2 linked regions of the Tamandua tetradactyla genome follow. The protein of the gene in region 2 interacts with the protein of the main gene of each other region in a biochemical or structural test. Links are inferred from orthologs where the notes say so. Each region holds a gene or a part of one and is shown on either strand. Other genes may lie near its edges.

Region 1 (10,732 bases), on a different chromosome or scaffold from region 2:
GACATTTTATACTTTGAATGGATTATATGGTGTGTGAATTTATCTCAATAAAATTTGTAGTTAAAAAAAAAAATTAATTCTGCCCCCAGTACATCCAGAGGATGACCCTGTAGATGTGACACGAATCTGAGCTTCAAGGTACATTAAGCCATAAAACAAAACTAAAAACCCTGAAACCTTAAAGCCCTTGCTCTTCACCACTAGGCTATCCTCCTTTTTATTGTCATCCATCCTTCAAAATGTTAAATGATTGAGTAAAAGAAGTTAAGTTAGCATTGGCTCACTTGAAAAACACTTAAAAAAGAATTGACAAACTTAAAAAAAAAAAGTCAAGTTTCATACAAAGAAAACTTACATCAGCTTTCATCAAGTGAAAACAATACCTGCCCTTCCCCAGTGCCACCCAAAGGCCCACCCCCACCCTAACTATAATTAAATCTCCTTATACCATTCCTAGTTCTCAAGTGTTTTACTCATGTTCTGCTATTTTTTCTGTTGCCTCCTTTTCTTTCTTTTGTTCTTGTGCTACTACCTTGAACCCCATCTTAATTGTGACTTCATGGGCCAGTCCCTATCTTTGACTGTGCTCCAGTGGATTTCAGCAGAAGATACTACCTTCTGGTCTCCATCCAGATCCTATGAGGGTTCCAGGGCCTGGAGCTTGTCATCCAGTAGGTCATCCAAAGGGGTAGAATCCACTGGCTGTAAGAGTTTCTCCATTCCCTGCCTAGGAAGGCAGCACAGTCAGAGGAATATGCATCTCATACAGTCATTCCCTTTTCAGCCAGTGAAAGCTAAACCTCTGTTGGGTGGGGAGACGTAGGACTCAGCCCACCACTCACAGAAGGAACCAGAAATAGCAAACACACCCCTCATCCCCACTGCCCTGCAGAGTCTGGCTGGGGGGGTCCCAGGAATGCAGGGCTTTTCTCCACTGTCTGATCTGGGCATCCCAGGAGCGACGGCTGTACTTCTTGTTCTTGTTTGGAGTTTGAGGGTGAATCCCTGGCTGTCGCTGTGCCCTAGTAATGAGAAATGTGGGTCAGACTGAGGTCAAGGTGAAAGGGAGCCCCATATAATAGGGGGCACAACTCACTGCTTATCATAGTGAATGAGGAAATTTGTTAGTGATTCCTGAGAATGGTGTAAGATCCATGTTCTTGTGGAAGGCTGAGTTATGTGCCCCAGAAAAAAACATGTTCTTAATCATCAGCACTCCTGTGGGTGTGAGCCCATTATAAATAAGACTTCTTGAAGATGTTAGTTAAGGTTGGGTGCAACTGAATGAAGGTAGATCTTAATCTGGATTACTAGAGGCCTTATAAAGAGGACTTGGAGGTCAGAGAAGCCAGAAAGGAGAAGCTTTTGTAATGTGACTAGAGGCAGATAGACAAGCCAAGGAAATCCAAGGATTGCTGACAGGCAGCACAAGATGCTACAGACCCTCAGGAGAAAGCAAGCCTTGCTAACATCATGATTTTAGACTTCTTCTAGCCTCAAAACTGTAAACCAATAAATTTCTATTGTTTAAGCCATCCCATTGTGTGGTATTTGTTATAGCAGCATGGCAAACTAAGAGGGTCCTCAATCCAACAAGAAAAGTAAATCTTCCAATCACATTAAACACCAAACTTCTGACCTTCGGGAAAGGGTAAGTTAGATAGTCCCAGCTTCCTTGGAAGCCAAAATAGACATAAAAGACAGTGTTTATCTTCCCTTTAAAATGAATTCTACCTTTTCATACATTTAGTTTGTATATATACATGTAAATTTGCATGTAATTAAGCAAGTATGTTGCAATTATCCAACTCAGCTGGAAGCATGAGGGGATAGTAAAAGTGGTTGGAAGGAAAACTACCTCATTAGGAAACACAGGTAAAGCTTTAAAGTCTTATGGGCCAAGTATTACTTGTTCCATTAAAAAAAAAAATCTTAGAAACTTATCTTTAGGGCTAGATTGCAGGAGACTTGGTTTTAACAATGCTGTAACTTTGTGAGAGCACTCAGATTTTAGTATCTTTCCATCACCTGACATTGAAATACAACAACTTGGTTGACACCATTGTTGTCACCATCCCACAGGTGCACTCACTTGGGGACCTTTTGCAGAAAGCACTGATAGCCAGGTGTGCACTTGCCATAATCTATTTGTTTTTGCCGCCGCTGCAGGACAACTTCATCAGTCTCTACTTGCCACCTGCAGGAAGTCCATGTGAATTGTGATTAGAGGCATCAAAGTTGAAACTAACTCATCCCACACTCCCTTAAATCCCAGCCTGAGTCTCAAACTCACCTGGTATGACAGAGCTCTGTACTGACTCCCACGCTCACCATCTCTAGCCTAGAGGATAGAGACTCCTCACAAACTTCCTTTCTGGGGGAGCAGATTCTACAGATGAAGTGAGTATTAGGATAAAAGCCAGCTGCTACAATGCACCTCTCAACCACCACCATCACAACCACAAGATTCAGACACCAGATAAAGGTTGTATTTTTGACGGGTTTCAGAAGTGTGGGTTGGCAAACCACCTACATTGGCACCACCTAGGGACCTTAATAGTTCCTGAACCCTCTCTAAACCTATTGAATCAACAATTGGGGGCCTGCATTTTAAACATTTTTTTATTATTACGGAAAATTTCAAATACGTACCGAAGTAAAATAACATAATGCCTTGGTACATAAAGTGTGGTTCCAGGGCCAGCCACTGCGGCATCACCTGGAGGTTTACAAGAAGTGTAGAATCTTGTGCCCTCACCCAGACTTACTGAATCAGAGTCTGCATTTTAACAGTATCCCCAGGTGGGTAGTAACCGCATTAAACTTTGAGAAGCACTGACATCACACACCCCCATGCTTCTATTATCCAACACTCAAAGCCAGTCTTGTTTCATTTACATCCACCGCTGCTCCCGCCCCCGATTATTTAAAATAAAATCTCCAACATTAAGAATAATTTCTTAATATCACCTAGTCAGTGTTAAATATCCATAAACAACTAAAGTTGGAGATCCTTTCGATTGATAAGGATTATGCCAAGAAATGATCCAACTCCTCTATTTTCCGTGAAAAGGAATTTCCTTTTACCACAACCTAGCATCTCAGAGATGCCGCGCACTAAAAAGGGACACCGAACAAGGAAAGCGCTTGGAAGGGGTCAGTGCCGCGTTGCCTAAACACACACACCTGTCTCGCCCCAACACCTGCCACGCTGGCAATAAATGCTCCATCTCCAGAGATCGGCTAGCAAAACCAGGAAGTTAGAAGAGAAAGGTCCACATAACGGTACGAAAAAAGGAGCAAGGAAAAAATAACCGTTTCCAACACTCTCATCTAAATTAAACTCTCCAAATAATATCTTAGCGAGTGGTGGCCGCCTGTGGGGAACAATTTAAATCTCCCGGGTTGGTGGGGATGTAGTAAGGGAGAGCACAGGAAGGGTGTGGCGATTGGTCAGAGGAAGAGCCAATGGTGCATTAGGCTTCCTGGGGGGGCGGAGCTTACCAGAGGCTGGTGGGCCAATCGCTATCCTGCTCTGACTCCCGGGCGGGGCAAATCTTGCTCCTGGCAAGGCAACCTCGTACCCCCTGTACTGGCCAAATGATTGGCTGAAGGGAACTAGGCGGGTGCGCAGGGATTGGCTGACGCAGGTAGAGGCGAGCGGTGATAGGTTATTGGGACGGCGGAAGATTTGAATGGTCAAGGCCCGTTGCTTTTGGTATTCTTCTACCCAAACCGCGTAATTTCGACCCTCTGAGGAGACAACCCGCGAAACCAAACTCTGGCCTATTCAGTCGACAAGCAGAAGTGTACCCTGGTTAATTGTCACCGTTTCCAGGATTGGTTCTTCCTTTAATTCTGCTCGTCTTCGCTCGTGTCCGATCTTTCCCAGCTTCCCTTTCTCCTGAAGGCAAGGAGACCCCAAATTTGAGGTAAGCCTGGAGTTCTGAGTGTCTGTCACGGAATGACGGAGATCGCATTTTCTCCTCAGTGGTCAGGCCGGGTCCCGCAAACGGAAGTCCAGAGGACCGAATGGGCATTGTCGTGAGTTAAGAGTCCCGATTTCCGGTCAGGACTCGTGAGCTGTTTGCCCCGAACAAATAAAAACCCTCTCTTCATTCCAACTTTGAAGTCCTGAGATTGCCTCTCGGCTACTTCAGGTTCCACCGAAAAGGCCAAGCCTCTTTGGGCAAGTCAGATTTAACCTTCATAATAGGATGCGATTCACTGTTTGGGGATGCCGCTCCGATCCTGAAATGTTTTATCATGCTGGAAAGGGTGGGGGAGGTAACCTTGAAGGCTGGATGACCTAAGATGGTGTTCTCTTTCCACCCAGGCTTTATTTTTCCTTTGGTGAGAATTCGGACACCATGTCTGCAGATCTTTCCTCATCCACAAGAGAAGAGGGAAGCCCAGGCTCAAGGCCCACATTTAGGTGCAGTCAGAGGAAGAGGTTAAACTCGCTCCTGGAGAGAGACACTTCCTTTACGATCTGCCCAGATCTCCGTAGAACTCCAGTGGATAAAATCCTTTGTGATTCTGCAAACCTAAGCATTTTGTCTGGGTAAATGCACTTTTATCATCGCACTCTATCGCCTTTACCTTTCTAAACAGCTTTAAAAAAAAAATTGTCCTAGCTCAAAGACCTGAATTTAAAACTCAACTCTGCCCTTAACTAATTGTGAGACTCTTTTGAGTCTCAGGATGATTTTCTGTGATACGGAAGTAATAATCTCTCCCCTCATCCTGTTTTACTAGGATCATGTGAAGATCATATAACATGATGTTTAAGGAAAGTCTTCGCAAATTCTATAGCGTTGTGACTTGGTTAATTTTTACTACTAGTAGTAATGGTATTGTTCTTTTACTTTAAATCATGAACATGCATGTCCTGTTGTCTCAGCTAGCAAACAAAGTTGGAGAGTTATAGAAATGAGATGTACTAGAAACTCCAATGAGAAATCCAATCTGTGTGCTTACGGCGCACGGGGCAGTGGATGTGGGGTTAAAACCTATAGTTCAATAAATTTTAGTCCTCAGTTAAAAAAAAAATTATCCTGGTGAGGAGAAAATAAGATATAAGTTATTGGAGTAGAAAGAAAGTGAGATTTTTTCTCAGCCTAGTTGTTCTATTATCAGCCTGGAATACTTCCAAAAATATTTAGATTTATTTGGACATCAGTCAGATTTTGAGATTGTCATCAAAGGGTGTTTCAAATGAAGAAAGCAACATGATCTTTGTCTTTAAGGTTTCATGACCTAATGGGAATCTTGATGTTCTATTATGTCTCAACAGAGGAACTCCAAAATGTTGTCTTGATCTTTCGAATCTTAGCAGTGGGGAGATGTCTGGCACTCAACTTACCACTTCTGCAGACCTTGATGAAACTGGTAGGGAGGAGAGAGGTATAGCCATCAATGGGAAAAATAACTTAGGGATAGGACAGAGTTGTAGGGCAGAGAGGGAAGGTGGTGAGAATAAGTAAGAGAGGCTTGAAGTTTGAATTTTGTATGTAAGTAGAGGATTTTTGAGGAGAATGATTAAGCCAATGGGAAGAAAAAGTTAGCATTAAAAGGAGTCACTTTGCATTTGAGAAAGTTAGATAGGAAGGAATATTTTGTTAGCTGATTGATGGTAGGAATCAAAGTGTAATAAAATATGAGAAGTTTTGTGCCTTAGTCTAATTTCAGCAGAGGCAAAGAAACCAACATAAGGAAATACTTTGTCAACTAAGACTGTTTTTTTATAGGGTCTAAGTCTGAAATGGATGTGTTTCATAAGACAAAAGTCTAGTACTTGTTCTAATTTCAGATTTCCTGAGTGATAAGCTTTCTTTTTGGCTCATGAAAAAATCTCCATGGGTTAATATAGTATAGTATAGTTAGTGTAATATAGTATAGTTCTGGTTCCCAGAACCAGAATTTTTTCTTTAGGTGATGCATGTAAATTCTTGTATTTCTTGAATTTCTGTTTGTCAGGAGACTCAGTTTTTGGAAATACTATGGCTTACTGATGATGAAAATCAGAAGGAAAGACAGGGTGCATGAACAAGGATAACTGATTCTTCATGTCTGATTTCAGGACACTTGTATTCTTCAGGACCTCAGGAAATACAGTTAGCTGTGGTGTAAGTTTTTCTTTCTAAATGAACCGCACGCTACAACATTTTTAGCACTGATCATGGGGATTTTATCCTGTGTAGACTCTGCAAAGTACAGAATATTTCACTTTGGAGATAAGTGGGCTTTGAGATCCAAGTCATTCCCTCGAAAGGCTAAGTTTCCCGGATCTGAATAGTGTTGTGAAAATGTGCCTGATAGTTAAAATGAATTCAATCAGTGTTATCTTCAAAAATGAAGGAAAATGACATACTGTACTTGCATGTAGGCATAATGTTTATTATTACTGTTATAGATTCTTAACAATCTTAAAATTTTCAGACAAGGAATACTCAACAAATGCAACAAATTTTGATTCAGCTCTTCTTAAACTTATAAAAAGTTTTGCACTTGGCTGTTTTAATCCTTTTGGAGCTTTATCTTTCAGTGTTTAGGTGAAAGATGACTGTTTTTATCAATATGTGTGAAAATTTCACTTTGTATAGCTTGCATTTTCTTTGAATTGCTTAAAATGTCCTAACCCATGATGAAATCCTGAGAGAGAGGATGGAAATTCATAATTATTTTTCTTTATCTCTTAGAACAGCTTTAGGTTTACCGAAAAATCCTTCAGAAAGTACAGTATTCCCTATATGGCCCTGAACACACAGTTTGCCCTATTATTAACATTTTACATTAGTGTAGTACATATGTTACAACTGATGAACTGATATTATTAAATTATTAATTACAGTCCATAGTTTATCTTAGGGTTCACTCTTTCAGTTGTATAGTTTTTTCTAAGATTTTTTTAAATTGTGGTAACACTTAACACAATATAAAATTTCCCATTTTAACCACTTTCAAAGTGTTCAGTGATGTTAATTACATTCACAATGTTGTACTACCATCTGTTACCAAAACTTTTCCATCACCCCAAACAGAATTTAATCTCATTCAATTAAACATTATCTCTCCATTCTCCAACTCTACCTTAGTGTTAGAAATACATATTTACACCAACAGTCAACACTGAAAAATTAGTAACTAAAAATGATTATGTCTACATGAGATGAGAAAAAAACCACATTCATCTTTGTTACATATCCATAAATAGGATAATGCAAGTGAAGTGAGGGGATGTCACTTGCCATCTTGATATTTAGCTCTGAGAATATCCTATATATTATTATGGTAAGATACACATCAACCAGATGCAGGGCCCCTGGAACGGAAGAAAGGAAAAGGTGGGATGGGCCAGGCCACTGAAGAATGACCAGACAGTATTTGGGGCTTCACTCACTGACAGTTTGTTTTGGTCTGCAGGGATCATCATCAGCACCTTATGAAATACAGCCCAGTGAGTAATCCCTTTCTCTTGGATTTGGGTTTATTTCTCAGGTGGGCAGCAGAAGGTTTTACTTACCTGTGGCTTGAGGATTCTGGATGTTCTCAAAAATTCTTTTACAGGCACAGCTGCTGTGTAGCACTCCGAATACTTTGGACCATAACCACAGAAAGACAGATGCAATGTGTAGCTCACTTGCAAATAAAGAAAACGTAAGTGTTTTTACATTTAACCTTAGATAAATTAGCAGATTTCTTCCTTTGAATGGTGCAACTCAATGGTAGCATTGTGAGACCTAGAGCTATTCATACCTTACTATGCTAAACTATAGGGAAAACAATTCTTTTTGGATTGTTCATTTGCTTTGTTTTTTCTTTTTTTAAACGTTGACCCTAGGATAGAAACCTAGCTCCAAGTCCTCCACAGCAGGCCGTTGTTACTACTCATACTTGATCATTTTGAGGACAAAAATCCATATTATAGTAGTGTAAGGAATTGAGGATTTATTTATTTATTTATTTTTAGCAGAGGGAAATAATTATATGAACATAATTTGTTCACAAATTCATTGCAAAATTTCCCATTCAAGGCTAGATTCTTAGTTTCTTCTTATTTCCTCCTTAGCCTAGCTTCTTAGCTAATATTCTGAGAAAGCCGTGGTCCTTTTTGTCTAAGCCTCAGACCATCCTTCAGTTATAAATTGAAACTTGTCCCTCCAGAGCCACCCAATTACTAAAATAATCCTCTAATCCCTTCAATTAATTCCCTTTTCTAACCTTCTTTTACTTTTCTCTGTCCCTTCTCTTATTCCAGGTCAGTATCCACAAAAGATAACTATTTTTCTTTTCTCACCTTCACTAAGATACACCCATGATTTGGGCTGTTCTAATCAGCTTTTTCCTGATTTAATACTGTCTTTTTAATCTCCTTTTATTGTCAGGTTTTTAAATCTCATCAACCCCTCCCCTATCAGGCTTGGTTCTTTCCTGATCCTTTTGCTTATGATCATAAAATTAGCATGCTCTAAAGCAAATCTAAATCATAATTTGTATCTTCAGGATATAGGGTCAATCTTTATTACACATAATGTGCTTCATGAGGTTTATTCCTGTCCTAATCTAAAAAAATATTTTTGGCTGGGCTGATAATGCCTTTCTTCCTCTAGCCAATGCAGTTTTTTTTTTTTTTTAATGCAGAAAAACAACACTTTGAAGCCTTTGGAGTGGCAGGCACCCAGGAAACTAAAGTTTCAGAAGAGAGCAGGGGGACCTTATGTCTCTCCCCTTTCTCTGCTGGTGAGTCCCTGATCATTGTCTTTAAGGGTCAGCAGTAGATATTGTAGAGGACAGAATGTCAGATCTGCATTTATGAACTTTTGAGTTTTTCTATGCTGAATTGGGTGAGAAAAGGGACTGTAGAAGTGAGTTTGAGCGGGGAAAGGGGGGAGGTGTATGTCCTCTGATCATTTTAGTGGTTTAAACTAAAGAAGAGAAGAAATTCTTTGGCCTTTTTCCCCCTTCTACTTTATTCTGTTTTAATAAAAAGCAGTTTTATTGAAATAAATTCACATACCATACAATCCATCTAAAGTATACACTGACTTCTAGTAAATTCAGGGAGTTGTGCATTCATCACCACAATCAATTCTAGAACATTTTCACCCTCAGGAGGGTTCACTATATTATACAGTCCCATGTTTCATCCTCTGGCTTTCCGTCTAATGACAAACACCACCCTAAACTTTCTCTTTCAACCACAACTGCACCCCTACATCATCACTGTTAATTACAGTCACTAAAATGCGCTATTATCACCTCCATCCATTTTCAAACATTCACAATCACCCTTATATACATATTCTGCACAAATTAAGCATCAGCTCTCCATTCTCTGCCCTCATTCTATCTTATGGTGATCTATCTTCTAGATATTAACACCATGAGTTGCTAGTTATATTTAGCTCATATTAGTGAGGTCCTAAAATACTTGTCCTTTTGTGTGTGACTTGTTTTACTCAACATAATGTAGTCACATGCTTCATGATTTCATTTCATTCTTATAGCTGCATAATATTCCATTGTTTGTATATACTACAATTTATTTATCCATTCATCGAGTGATAGACACCTGGGTTGTTTCCATCGTTTGGCAATTGTGATTAATGCCATTATGAACACTGGTGTGCAAATGCCTGTTCATGTCCTTGCTTTTATTTCTTCTGAGTATATACGAACTAGTGGGATTACGAGCTCATATGACAATTCTACACTTAGCTTCCTGCCAAACTGTCTTCCATAGTAGCTGTACCATTCTACAATCCCAACAGTGAATAAGTATTCCTGTTTCTCCACATCCTCTCCAACACTTGTGATTTTCTGTTTTTTTAATAGTGGCAATTCTAGTAAGTATGAAATGATATCTCTTTGCAGTTTTGATTTGCATTTCCCTAATAGCTAGTGATGTTGGACATCTTTTCCTGTGCTTTTTAGCAATTTGTCTATCCTCTTTGAAAAATGTTTATTCATGACTTTTGCCTATTTTTAATTGGGTTGTTTGTCTTAGCTTTGAATTATAGGAGTTCTTTGTATATCCTGGATATTAAACCTTTATCAGATATGTGATTTCCAAATATTTTCTTCCTTTGGGTAGACTGACTTTTTACCCTCTTGACAAAATCCTTTGAAGCCAAAAAGTATTTGATTTTATGGAGGTCCCATTATCTTATTTTTCCTTTTGTTCCTTGTGCTTTGAGTGTAAGATCTAGCAATTGTTCTAGTTTGCTAGCTGCCGGAATGCAATATACCAGAAATGGAATGGCTTACCATAAAATCTTGAATATGCTTTCCTACAGTTTTTTCTAGGAGTTTTATGGTTTTACCTTTTACAGTTAGGTCTTTAATTCATTTTGAGTTCACTTTTGTATAAGGTGTGAGACAGGGGTCCTCTTTCATTCTTTTACCTATGAATAGCCAGTTGTCCCATCCAGCACCATTTGTTGAAGAAACTTCTCTGTCTCATTTGGGTGGACTTAGCAGCCTTGTCAAAATTTGATTCCATTGGTCAATATATCTATCTTTATGCCAGTATCATGCTGTTTTTATTATTGTAGCTTTATAATATACTTTAAAGTCAGGACGTGTAAGTCCTCCAACTTCATTTTTCTTTTTCTTTTACAAGAGTTTTTGCCTATTTAGGGCCCCTTACCCTTCCAAATAAATTTGGTAATTAGCTTTTCCATTTCTGTAAAGAAAGCTCTTGGAATCTTGATTGGGTTTTCACGGATTC
Region 2 (10,732 bases):
AATGATCATGAGGATGAATATGCAATTATGTGATGATCTTGTGAATTACTGATTATACATGTAGAACGGAACGATCATATGTTAAGAATGTTTTTGTTTGTTTGTTGTTAAATTTTTTTTAATTAATAAATTTTTAAAAATAAAAAAAAAAAGGAGAAAAAAAAATTGAGAGTCCAGAAACAAACCCAAGTTTAATTTTTGACAATGGTGTCAAGACAATTCAATGGTGAAAGAACACTGCCTTCAACAAATGATGCTGGGAGAACTGGATATTCACATGCAAAACAATGAATTTGGACCCCTATTTCATACAAAAAAACCACTCAAAATGGATCAAAGATCTAAATCTAAGAACTAAAACTATACAACGCTTAGAAGAAATCACAAATGTAAATCAATGATAAGTAATAATAATATATAGCTCCTAAATGCTGAGCATCTACTCTATGCTGATTTCTCTATCCAGCTTTTCATATATTCTCACTTTTAAAGGTGATGCATTCCAATTCACTCTTCCTCATCATTTCCCTCTTCCCCACTCAACATACCTAAACCCCAAGCCTATTTTTAAAATATGGCTTAAATGGGTAAAAGATATGGAATGTCACTATATCATTTATTTTTACCATTTATTCAACTTATCAAAGTTGGACATTAAATTAAAGGGAGGGGTAGTGACAAGGTACAGAATGTTATTCATTTCTCCACATTATTTTCTATTATTTCAATGTCAAACTTTTTTTTAAACAAAGAGATCATTCTAATCTGAGGAGGAAAAAAGCTTCAAATTTACCTATAGCAAAGTCTTTCTATTGAAATAGTTGCTGTGAGAGAATAATTGTATTTAAATTGCAAGGTCAGCTATTTTGAGATAAGAACAAATAACAGATAACCAAGAAATAGCCTTACCTAGCTCTGATACTACAAAACTGATGCTCTGAAGCCACCAAAAACCACAGCAAGGTTATTAGTTGGCAAAGCTTCTGAGATTCAATAAGAAATGTTAGCAATTTTGCATGAAGCTGCACTTTTCAGGGGGCAGTGTCCACGGCTCTCTTCAGATGGACAGCATGTTGCATATACCCACCAATAAAAAATTGTTGGAAAAATTAAGGAAACCCAAAAGCAAGTAAGAACCAGTGTGCCACCCAACACTGTTTCCTCTGTTTCATCATTCATCATCTTCAAATTCTAGAATCATTCCAGGGGTATCCCAAGCTGTCTGCTGCCACAATTTTCTGTAATTGTTTTTTAGAACAAAGCATTACACTATATAACAAAGGGTCTTACCAAGATTGGTGAACCCATCCTGGAGGGCCCATAAACGAGCCCAAGGGGCAGGGACTGGCTCCTCTGGTTCTTGGTCCTCCGGGATAGAATAGAGTTCCTGAGTAGACACTGTGTCTAAGGAACTCAGAGTCCCCGAGCTGGAGTGTGACGACTGGCTGGAGGTAGGCACAGTGCTGGAAGAAGAGCTGGACGTGCCCTGGAACGGGGAGGCAGCAGCGTAGGACTGCGAGGAGGCACCCAGGGACTGGGAGGCAGCACCGTGGGACTGAGAGGCAGAACCCTGAGGCTGCGAGGAGGTGCCGCTGGGGGACTGCTGACACTCCACATCTTTCTCCCGAGACATCACGACCTCTAAACGTAAGTGTCCAACAACAAAGTGAGTTACAATTAACAAGACTTAAAGTTCAAGAGTAAAGGATAGGTACACTACAACCATAAAAAATTATCCAGCATGTTCCGCAAAAATTAAAATTCTAACACTCTAGGCCTATAGTTCTTCTGGTCTAAGCTTTTCATCAGATCACTTTCACTAAACCAGTTTTTTCTAAGAGCTGCAAACCAAAAGGGGGTGAGGGGTTATGTGAAAGCTACAGATAGGTATAAGGCAACGTAACTAAAGCGAAATATAGGCTTACCATACAATCCAGCAACTGTGCTGCTAGGTATTTACCCAAATGAGTTCAAAATTTATGCCCACATAAGTTTGCACATGACTGTTTATGGACACTTTACCCATAATTGCCATAAACTGGAAACAACCAAGATACCCTTCAATAGATGAATGGATAAATAAACTGTAGGTATATCCACACAAAGGAAAACTATTTAAAAATAAAAAGAGCTATCAAGACATGAAACGACAGGGAGGAAATTTAAATGCATACTGCTATGTGAAAGAAGCTAGTCTGAAATGACTACATACTATATAATTCAAACCAGATGACATTCTGGAAACGGGCAAAACTATCATTGTTGCCAGGGAAGAAGGAGGAGGGAGATGAATAGGTGGAGCAAAGGGCACTTTTTTAGGGCAGTCAAACTATTCTGCATGATACTATAATATTGAATACATGATACTCTCCATTTTTCATAACCCATAGAACTGTACAACACAGAGTGAAACTTAATGTAAACTGTGGATTTCAATTAATAATAATGTATCAACATTGATTCACCAATTCTAACAAAGTTTGTACCAACTGTACAATTGTAAATGTACCAGACTAATGCAAGACCTTAATATGAGACACTGCATGGGGCAGAGAGGGGGAATATGGGGCTTCTCTGTACTTTCTGCACAATTTTTCTATAAATCTAAAACTATTCTAAAAGTAAAATCTTTTTTTAAAAAAAGCAGTGTAATTGAGCTTGGGGTGTGTGGAAGACTTGTAAGTTTACTTTCATTCCTTTTTTTTAATTAGGAATGAAATCTAAAACATATTCATTTATACAATCAACACAAAACTTAAATTTTCATATATATTTTGCAGAAAGAAGGGGAAGAGTCAGGTGCTTTGGGACAGACTATGCAAAAAAGAAACAACAGTAATTTGCTGCACAACATAAACATAAACTGATAACCCTCCCTGTCAGACCTCCTTCTTGAAGGGAGATACCATGTCCTTTATTCATTCCAGATTCCTGCACTTCTAATTCAGGGCTGGGATTCTGAGAAGAAAAAGGAAACTGCTCTAAATGCCACCCAGCTCTTTGTGATGCTAAGTAACTATGGAGCTCATCTTTTCAGCATCCCAAAAGACCTTGCAGCTCAGATGAAACCTTGCAGGAATCATTCCCAAGAGTCAGAGACCATAACACAGGTGCCCACCCTTGCTTTAGAATTAACTGATGGGCAGCTTATACCCCATAACAGTATCTCTGGTAGCTAGAGTCAAAACAACTTGCAATGCTGATCTAATCTGATTTTTTTTTTAATGAGTTCCTTCTTTCCTGCTCCCCACACTCAGACCTAATCCTCCAGTAGCACACCATAAACACTGCATTTACATAGCTTTCAAGATGCAAAGGCCCTGAAGAGTTTTCCTTAAAACACACCAGGAAGATGAATGAGTTTGCCACTCCAGGACCTTCTGGTTTAACAGGGCCAGGGCCAGGTTGAGTTCTCCTGCAGCTTTCTGAGCAAGGCTTCTTCTCAGGCTGCCTCCAGTTCCAGCCCTGATAAAGAAAGACTGAGGGTGTCAAGAGTTGGGTGCCATCATTGCTGATGACAAGGCCCACTCAGACAGTAATAAAGAGCCCAGACTGGGACCACTCTTGCCTCAGCAATGGGGCGAAAGTGTCGTGGAGTGGCATACAGGTCTGGAGTCAGGTTCCTGAGTCAAATCTCTAATTGACTCTGAGCAGGTCACAATCTCTCCGAGCCTCAGTTTCCTCATCTGAAAAAGAGCACATATACCGTGAGGATTGAAGAGGTGAAGTATGTAATACCCCTTCCCTCAGCAACTGGGAGCTAGTCTTATCAGAAAGCCATGCAACGTGGGAAGTGAAGAACCCAAGTCATGTCAGCAATATTCCAGGGTTGGTAAACAGAATTCCAGTCCCAAAGAGTTGGTAAATAGAATTCCAGTTCCAAAGAAACCTATAGCCATAAAGACTTTACAAGTGCAATGTCACCTGTTTATCAAATAGAGAAACTCAGTCCCAAAGAAAACTAGTACCGCCCGCCCATTTCCCACCACCCCATTCTGTCCACTTACTTATGAACGCTCGCAGGACATCCTGCCACATAGGTAAGTGGGTTTCCAGTTCCTGGAGCGCCTAGCAGCCAAGAGCAGATTGTCAATAATTAAGACTGAGCCCAAATCATGGTAATAATTACTACCATCTATAGAAGTCTTTACAAAACAACCGCGCTCTGATTTTGAAGAGCACAACGTTGTACCTTCCTATCCTAGAAGCCTGGGCCAGTCTCCGCTTATAAGTCACGAGGGGAAGTGAACTTCACCTCGACGTTTATCTACAAAAAAGGAAGAGTCGCTACGCCCCCATTCCCGCGGGAACTCAAATCCGACAAAGCGGAAGCTCGGGAGACGCCGCTAGCATAGGACCGGGAGGAAGGGATTCGAACCCCCAAATACAAAAGAAAAGCTCCCCTTCATGACTCACCACGCGAGTCCCAGAGGAGCCGCACACTCATGGCAGCGCCTGAGTGGCGCTAAACGGCAGATACAAACGCCGCCCTGATCCAATCAAATCACCCTCCGACGTGGTTGGACCAATTAGAAGCCGCGGATGTAGTCGTCAAAGCGTAGCCTCAGAACCCACTGGGGGTTGTAGTTTAGGTCGCAGAGCGGAACTCGGCTTCCAGGTTTCCCCCGGTGATTCCGCCCCCTCGGGTCCAGCAGCCAATCAGCAGCACGGATCTGATCGGCCAGCCACACCCCCTTTTGCTCACTAGCGACCGCGGCGACTGAGGCAGCGGGCCAAATGTGGGGTGGTAGGGCCAGAGTCCTGCTCCGGGTATGGGAGTTGTGGCTGGCAGGGGTTCCCGGGAGGGGACCGCTGAGCTCCAGTGCTGCGTCCCAGGCGCGAAGCAACACCTCCCGATGTTGGAAGTGCGGCGGCCCCGGGGGCGCCGTGCTGGGGGACGCGTTCTTCTGTCCGCAGTGCCGCGCGCTGCAGCCCCCCGACCCCTCGCGTGACTACTTCAGCCTCATGAATTGGTACGGGCAGAGGCTTCGGGAAATGGGCCGGGGCAAGAGACGTCCGGGATCGGTCTGCGAGAGGGCAAGGCCGACCGGGCTTGGGAAGGAGGTGGAACTGAGAAGGAAGGTGGGTGGAGGCCTGGAGAGCAGGGGTTGGGGACCGGGCCTGGGAGCAGGAAGGTTGGGATTCGCCCTGAGGGGGGCCGGGGGCGGGAGTTAAGGGGCGGGGCCGGGAAAGAGGGAACTTGAGAGGCAAGATCAGGAAGTTTAACGTTGGATGAGATTAAAGAAAGGAATATTGAGGTGTAGCCCAAGATGAGGATATAAAAGCACGAAAAATTTAAAATTGTGGAAGGGGTTATAAGAAAGCCTGGGAATTAGAAGGTAAGGGTTGAGAAATGGGTATTGCCCCCTTTTGTTCTGAAAGGTAAGAAACTTAAAGAGGTGGTGACGTCTAGATGGAACTGGACTGGTCGTGTCATTGGACAGACAATGGGAAGAGAAAATGAAAAGATTGGATTAAAGGAAACTGGAAGATGGGGATGAAGGGCCTTGGAAAGATGGGGTGGGATTCAGGATTATCCCTTCCCTCAACTCTAGGATCGGACTCCACCTGACACTTAGCACTTACTACGTACTGCAGTTATGCTAGTCTTTAAGTTCATCAGGAGTACTGACCTTGTTCCTACCTCAGGGCCTTTGTATTCCCTGATCCACATCATTCAGGTCTCACCTGAATTATCTCTTCACCCACCCCATCTTTATGACCCTGTTTTGTTTTTTTTTCGTAGCACCTACCACTTTTGAAAATTATCCCTGTTTCCTTATTTTTTGCATCTTCCCTCATGAAAACAGGAACCAGGCCTATGGTAGACAAATCTTTATTTGTTAGATGAATTTAATCTCCTGATTTCTTTTCAGCAACCGTTCCTTCAGAGTTGACACCACCAAGCTCCAGCATAAGTACCAGCAACTACAGCGTCTTATCCATCCAGATTTTTTCAGCAAGAGGTCTCAGGTAGCCTTGTTGGCACCCTGAATCATACCGAACACATATGTACAAACTGGGTGGGTAGTAGCAGCCTGTGGTTATGTGATTTTCGGGAACAGAGCTGGACATTCAGCTCCACCCTGTGACAGCCTGACCCCTGCCAGGCAAGCCCTGGAGTTGTCAAGCACTCACAGCTTTTATCTGACTTCCCAGAAAAGTCTCGAACTGGTCAGTTGAAAATAAAGACTACTTATCCCACAGCACTTACACTTTGTACTTTGGCTACCTCCTTAGGTTTCTCCCAGCAGCATTTTATAAAATAATTTGTCAATGTAAGATGGCTGATTTGGACGATAATAAGGCTATCTTCATTTCACTCTAACAGACTGAAAAGGACTTCTCAGAGAAGCATTCAGCCCTGGTGAATGAGGCCTATAAGACTCTTCTGGCCCCCCTAAGCAGGGGACTATACCTGGTAAGGTGATTTCCCAACCCTTCCCCGTGTGACTGCCTGATATCCATTGTACTGTGAGACAGTTGCCCCCCCTGTATTAAGCAAAAGATTACTTGAGAAATACTTGAGACCTGAATTAGTCCAGAAACGGAACAGTATTTAGTCTGTAAGATACTACATGAATGTAGTTTTCTCTGCAAATGTTACTTGCCTCAAATGCATCTTCTTAAACCATTTTTCATAAATTTCAAGGATTTGATGGTGATGGCTTTTGGAGAAAGGCAATTTTTGCTTTGTTTTGGGAGGAAGAGATAAGCATCTTAGAATCCAGAAAATTCTAGAATTGAATAGAAACTTTACAAACATTCAGTTCAGTCCCCTGAATGGAAGAATGACTCCCCAAGCGTCACATGGTTGCAAGTAGCGTGGGATCTAGACCCAGTGTCCTGTCCCTGGTTCAGGCTATTGGCACTCTGCCCTCATGCTTTTGTTATTGGTTCAACTTAAGTTTTCCTCATAAGAGAAAGCATGTTCTGAAGGGTGAGTAAGATTTGCATGACTCTAGCCATAGTTTCTTATTTTCCCTACTTTATGCCCCAATAGCTAAAGCTCTGTGGAATCGAGATTGATGAAGGGACAGATTATGAAATGGACAGGGAATTCCTCATGCAAATAATGGAAATCAATGAAAAACTCGCAGAAGCTCAAAGTGAAGCTGCCACAAAAGAAGTAGAATCCATTGTTAGAGGTAAAAAATAAAATACCCCCAAATTCATGTAATTGCTAATATGAGTACATGTCTAAAGTTAAGTGAAAAATGCATGTAAATGCATTGGAGGTCATAATGATTCAGGGAATATTTTTTTCTTGACCATACTCAAACTACTTTTGTCTGGAGATTAGTCTTGCAGCATCCCTAACCATTTGCAAGGCAAGAGGATTAAATCTCTGGTAACCAAGAATGAAAGACTATTTTGATGATTATAATGTTCCTTCATTAAGATACTATTAATTGGAGCTAAAGGGACGCAGATTGTGCAACAGCACTGATTGTTGAAACTCAGATGGATAGCACAATGTTACCTGATTGTAGCACAATAATGTAAGTACACTGAATGAAGCTGAATGTGAGAAGGATAGAGGGAGGAGGGCTGGGGGCACATATGAAACCAGAAGGAAAGATAGACAATAAAGACTGAGATGATATAGTCGAGAAATGCGTTGAGTGTACAATGATAGTGACTAAATGTACAAATTAAAAAACATTTATGCATGAGGAAGAACAAAGGAATATTGCAGGGTGTTGAAAATAGATGGTCATTTATATTTTAAAACCTCAATTTCTGTGTGAGACTAAAGCAAAAAAAAGTTTATTTAGTTCAAAATTTATATTTCGTCTAGTACATTTCCTAATATAGCTTATATGGACAGGTTAATTGAACACCGTAAGTACATGGAACTTTGAATAGGGCATGCGATTTTGTAGGTTTGTCCAGTGTGATGCCCCGATAAATCCCAGAGTAATTTGAACAGTGAATAAAGATGTAATTGCAAAATCCCCTTGGGGGAATGGTGAGAAAGGGGAAAAAATTCAACTTCCCCATTTGGAGAATGCCTAATATTTTCACAAGCAGTGGGGACAACTGAATCAGTAGGCGGAGCAATTAATCTTGGGGTTTTTCATATGAAACTTACCCTGCAAAGAATAGTCTAAGCCTCCTTAAAATTAGGCCTAAGAGTCACACTCAGAGAACCTCTTTTGTCACCACAGATGTGGCCTTTCAGCCAGCACAGCAAGCAAAGTCGCTGCCCTTCCCCTCTCTACATGGGACATGACTCCCTGGGGTGTAAACTTCCCTTGCAGCGTGGGACAGAAATTCTAGAATGAGCTGGGGCTCAGCATCAAAGGATTGAGAAAACATTCTTGACCAAAAGGGGGAAGAGAGAAATGAGACAAAATAAAGTGTCAGTGGCTGAGAGATTTCAGAGTCCAGAGGTTATCCTGGAGGTTATTCTTACTCATTGTATAGACATCCCCTTTTTAGTTTAAGGTGTATTAGAGAGGCTAGAGGGAAGTGCCTGAGACCATAGAGCTGTGTTCCAGTAGAAAAAAAAAGGTACTATGTCTAATGAGGAAAAAGGGCTTCAGAAGTTAATGGAAATGCCTAAGGCCACACAACAGATACACAGCAGATACACATTGAAACCATGTTCTTCTGAGCTCTTATTGCTGCATTTTCCATATTATTCCATAGAACAGGCTCCACAGTTTTCACTCAGACTGTATGCATTCGTGTTCTTTCACAGATGTTTGGGATGTGCCCACTGTGTGTCACATACCAAGCTTGACACTGAAGAATACAGCAGTGAACTAAGAAAGACGTGGCCCATCCCTTCATAGAGTTTACATATTCCAGCTCCATATGTCCAAAATGGAATTCACGAGGTTCTTCCTTACCGCTACCACCCCGAAAGAAAAAAGTGAAACTACTCCTCTCCCAATTTTCCCTCCCCAAGAAAATGTCACCATCCAGTTGTGCAAGTCGAACACTAAGGAGACGTCCTTAACAGCCTTATTCTCCCTTATCCCCATAGACAATCTGTCACCAAGCCATGAAGAGTTGACCTCCTAAGAGTGTCTCAAATCCATGTACCCATCTCTATTTTCACTGCCACCACCGTGTTTCAAACTACATTATCTCTTACCTGTATCACTACTCTACACTTATATGATCTTTTTTTTTTATTTTATTTTTAATTTTTTCAATAGAGAAGTTCTGGATTTACAGATCATACATAAAATACAGGATTCCCATACACCACCCCACCACCAATACTTGCATTAGTGTGGAAAATTTGTTACAACTGATGATACTTTTTTGGTAAATTCTGTTTTTTTAACAGTAGTTAAACATTTGTTAACAACTGATGATTATTGAAGTAGTACTATAACGACTATTCATAATTTACATAGTATTTTCCCCATATTCTCGACCTACAATAATTTTTTTTTTCTATGCATGTCTTTATTTCATCACCCATCTACTCATACACTGGATAAAGGGAGTGTCAGTCATAAATTTTTTACAATCACACAGTCTTATAATTAAAGCTACATAGCTATAGGAATCAAGGCTACAGGATTACACTTCAACAATTTCAGGTATTTCCTTCTGACTATTCTGATACACTAGAAACTAAAATGAAATGTCTATATCATGAGCCAGAAGTCGTAATCATCTGTTAAATCCTAATTTCTCAGTTTACACCTCCTCCCTCTCAGCTGATCATTCTCTCAGTCTTCAGAACCTCTGAGCAATGATCATTTTGGCTTCTTTGTTCTGGAAAGGGGTGTCAAATTTATGAAATAGAAGAATGAGACTGGTTGATGTCCTTAGACTGGTACATCTGGGTTTCAGGGCTTTATCTGGCATAGGAACAATCTGGAGGCCTTAAGTTTCTGAAAAAATAAACTCACTAAGTTGAATATTTATAAAGTCTTAGATAGAGCCCAGCGTGTTCTTTACAGTTTCTAGGAATACTGTTGGCTGGGGCTTGACATACTCTGTCAACTTGCAGTATCTGGCAGAAGCTTGTATGAGAGTAACTTCCAGAATAGCCTCAACTCTATTTGAAATCTCTTAGCTACTGAAACCTTACTTGGTTTCATTTCTTTTCCCCATTTTGGTCAAGAAGGCATTTTCAATCCCACAATGCCAGGGCCAGGCTCATCCCTGGGAGTCATTTCCCACCTAGTGGGGAGGGTAATGAGTTTATTTGCAGAGTTGGCGTAGAGAAACAGGCCACATCTGAGCAACAAAGGAGGTTCTCTGGGGGTGACTCTTAGGCATAATTATAAAGTAGACTTAGCTTTACCATTGCTGAAATAGGTTTCACCAGGACAAGTCTCAAAATTGAGGGTTTGACATTTTAAACTGGGAGTCTCTGATGCTTGAGAGAATATCAGGAATTACCCAGGTGGGGAAGTTTAATAGTTCCACATTTTTTCTCCAGTCCCTCAAGGGGACTTTGTAAAAACTTTTTTATTTTCTGCCCAAAATTCTTGGGAATATATCAGAGTTTTACATTAAGCTGTATGGAGTAACAAGATCTCATTCCCAATTTTAGGTTCCTTGTATTTAGGTTGTTTATATACACTGACCAGACAGTTTAATTAGATAGTATGTGTTCTAGTTTGCTAGCTCCTGGAATGCAATATACCAGAAACAGAATGGCTTTTAAAAAGGGAAATTTAATGAGTTACTAGTTTACAGTTCTAAGGCCGAGAAAATGTCCCAATTAAAACAAGTCTATAGAAGAATCACATGATCA

The links.
Region 1: of the proteins of CHEK2 (region 2) and CDC25C, one has a biochemical effect on the other in vitro, tested with the Homo sapiens proteins (14 studies listed by BioGRID). The link is inferred for Tamandua tetradactyla from reciprocal best matches to the Homo sapiens genes CHEK2 and CDC25C.

What each region holds. Positions count from the first base shown.
Region 1 is NC_135346.1:17,995,879-18,006,610, reverse strand, and holds the start of CDC25C (M-phase inducer phosphatase 3), read left to right. Parts: upstream 1-4,336; 5' UTR 4,337-4,370; coding exon 4,371-4,564; intron 4,565-5,296; coding exon 5,297-5,406; intron 5,407-6,082; coding exon 6,083-6,128; intron 6,129-7,425; coding exon 7,426-7,459; intron 7,460-7,569; coding exon 7,570-7,659; intron 7,660-8,643; coding exon 8,644-8,742; intron 8,743-10,732. Other genes in the region: oocyte-specific histone RNA stem-loop-binding protein 2-like, read right to left, coding at 637-727, 870-1,022, 2,093-2,197, 2,294-2,389, 3,187-3,230. UniProt on the Homo sapiens protein: Functions as a dosage-dependent inducer in mitotic control. Tyrosine protein phosphatase required for progression of the cell cycle. When phosphorylated, highly effective in activating G2 cells into prophase.
Region 2 is NC_135331.1:34,297,321-34,308,052, reverse strand, and holds the start of CHEK2 (serine/threonine-protein kinase Chk2), read right to left. Parts: upstream 5,057-10,732; 5' UTR 4,974-5,056; coding exon of another isoform or gene 4,738-4,973; 5' UTR 4,417-4,737; intron 4,386-4,416; exon of another isoform or gene 4,193-4,385; intron 4,069-4,192; exon of another isoform or gene 4,008-4,068; intron 3,687-4,007; 5' UTR 3,569-3,686; intron 3,466-3,568; 5' UTR 3,346-3,465; exon of another isoform or gene 1,642-3,345; 5' UTR 1,634-1,641; coding exon 1,291-1,633; intron 1-1,290. Other genes in the region: iron-sulfur cluster co-chaperone protein HscB, read left to right, coding at 4,738-4,973, 5,877-5,973, 6,332-6,421, 7,004-7,148. UniProt on the Homo sapiens protein: Serine/threonine-protein kinase which is required for checkpoint-mediated cell cycle arrest, activation of DNA repair and apoptosis in response to the presence of DNA double-strand breaks.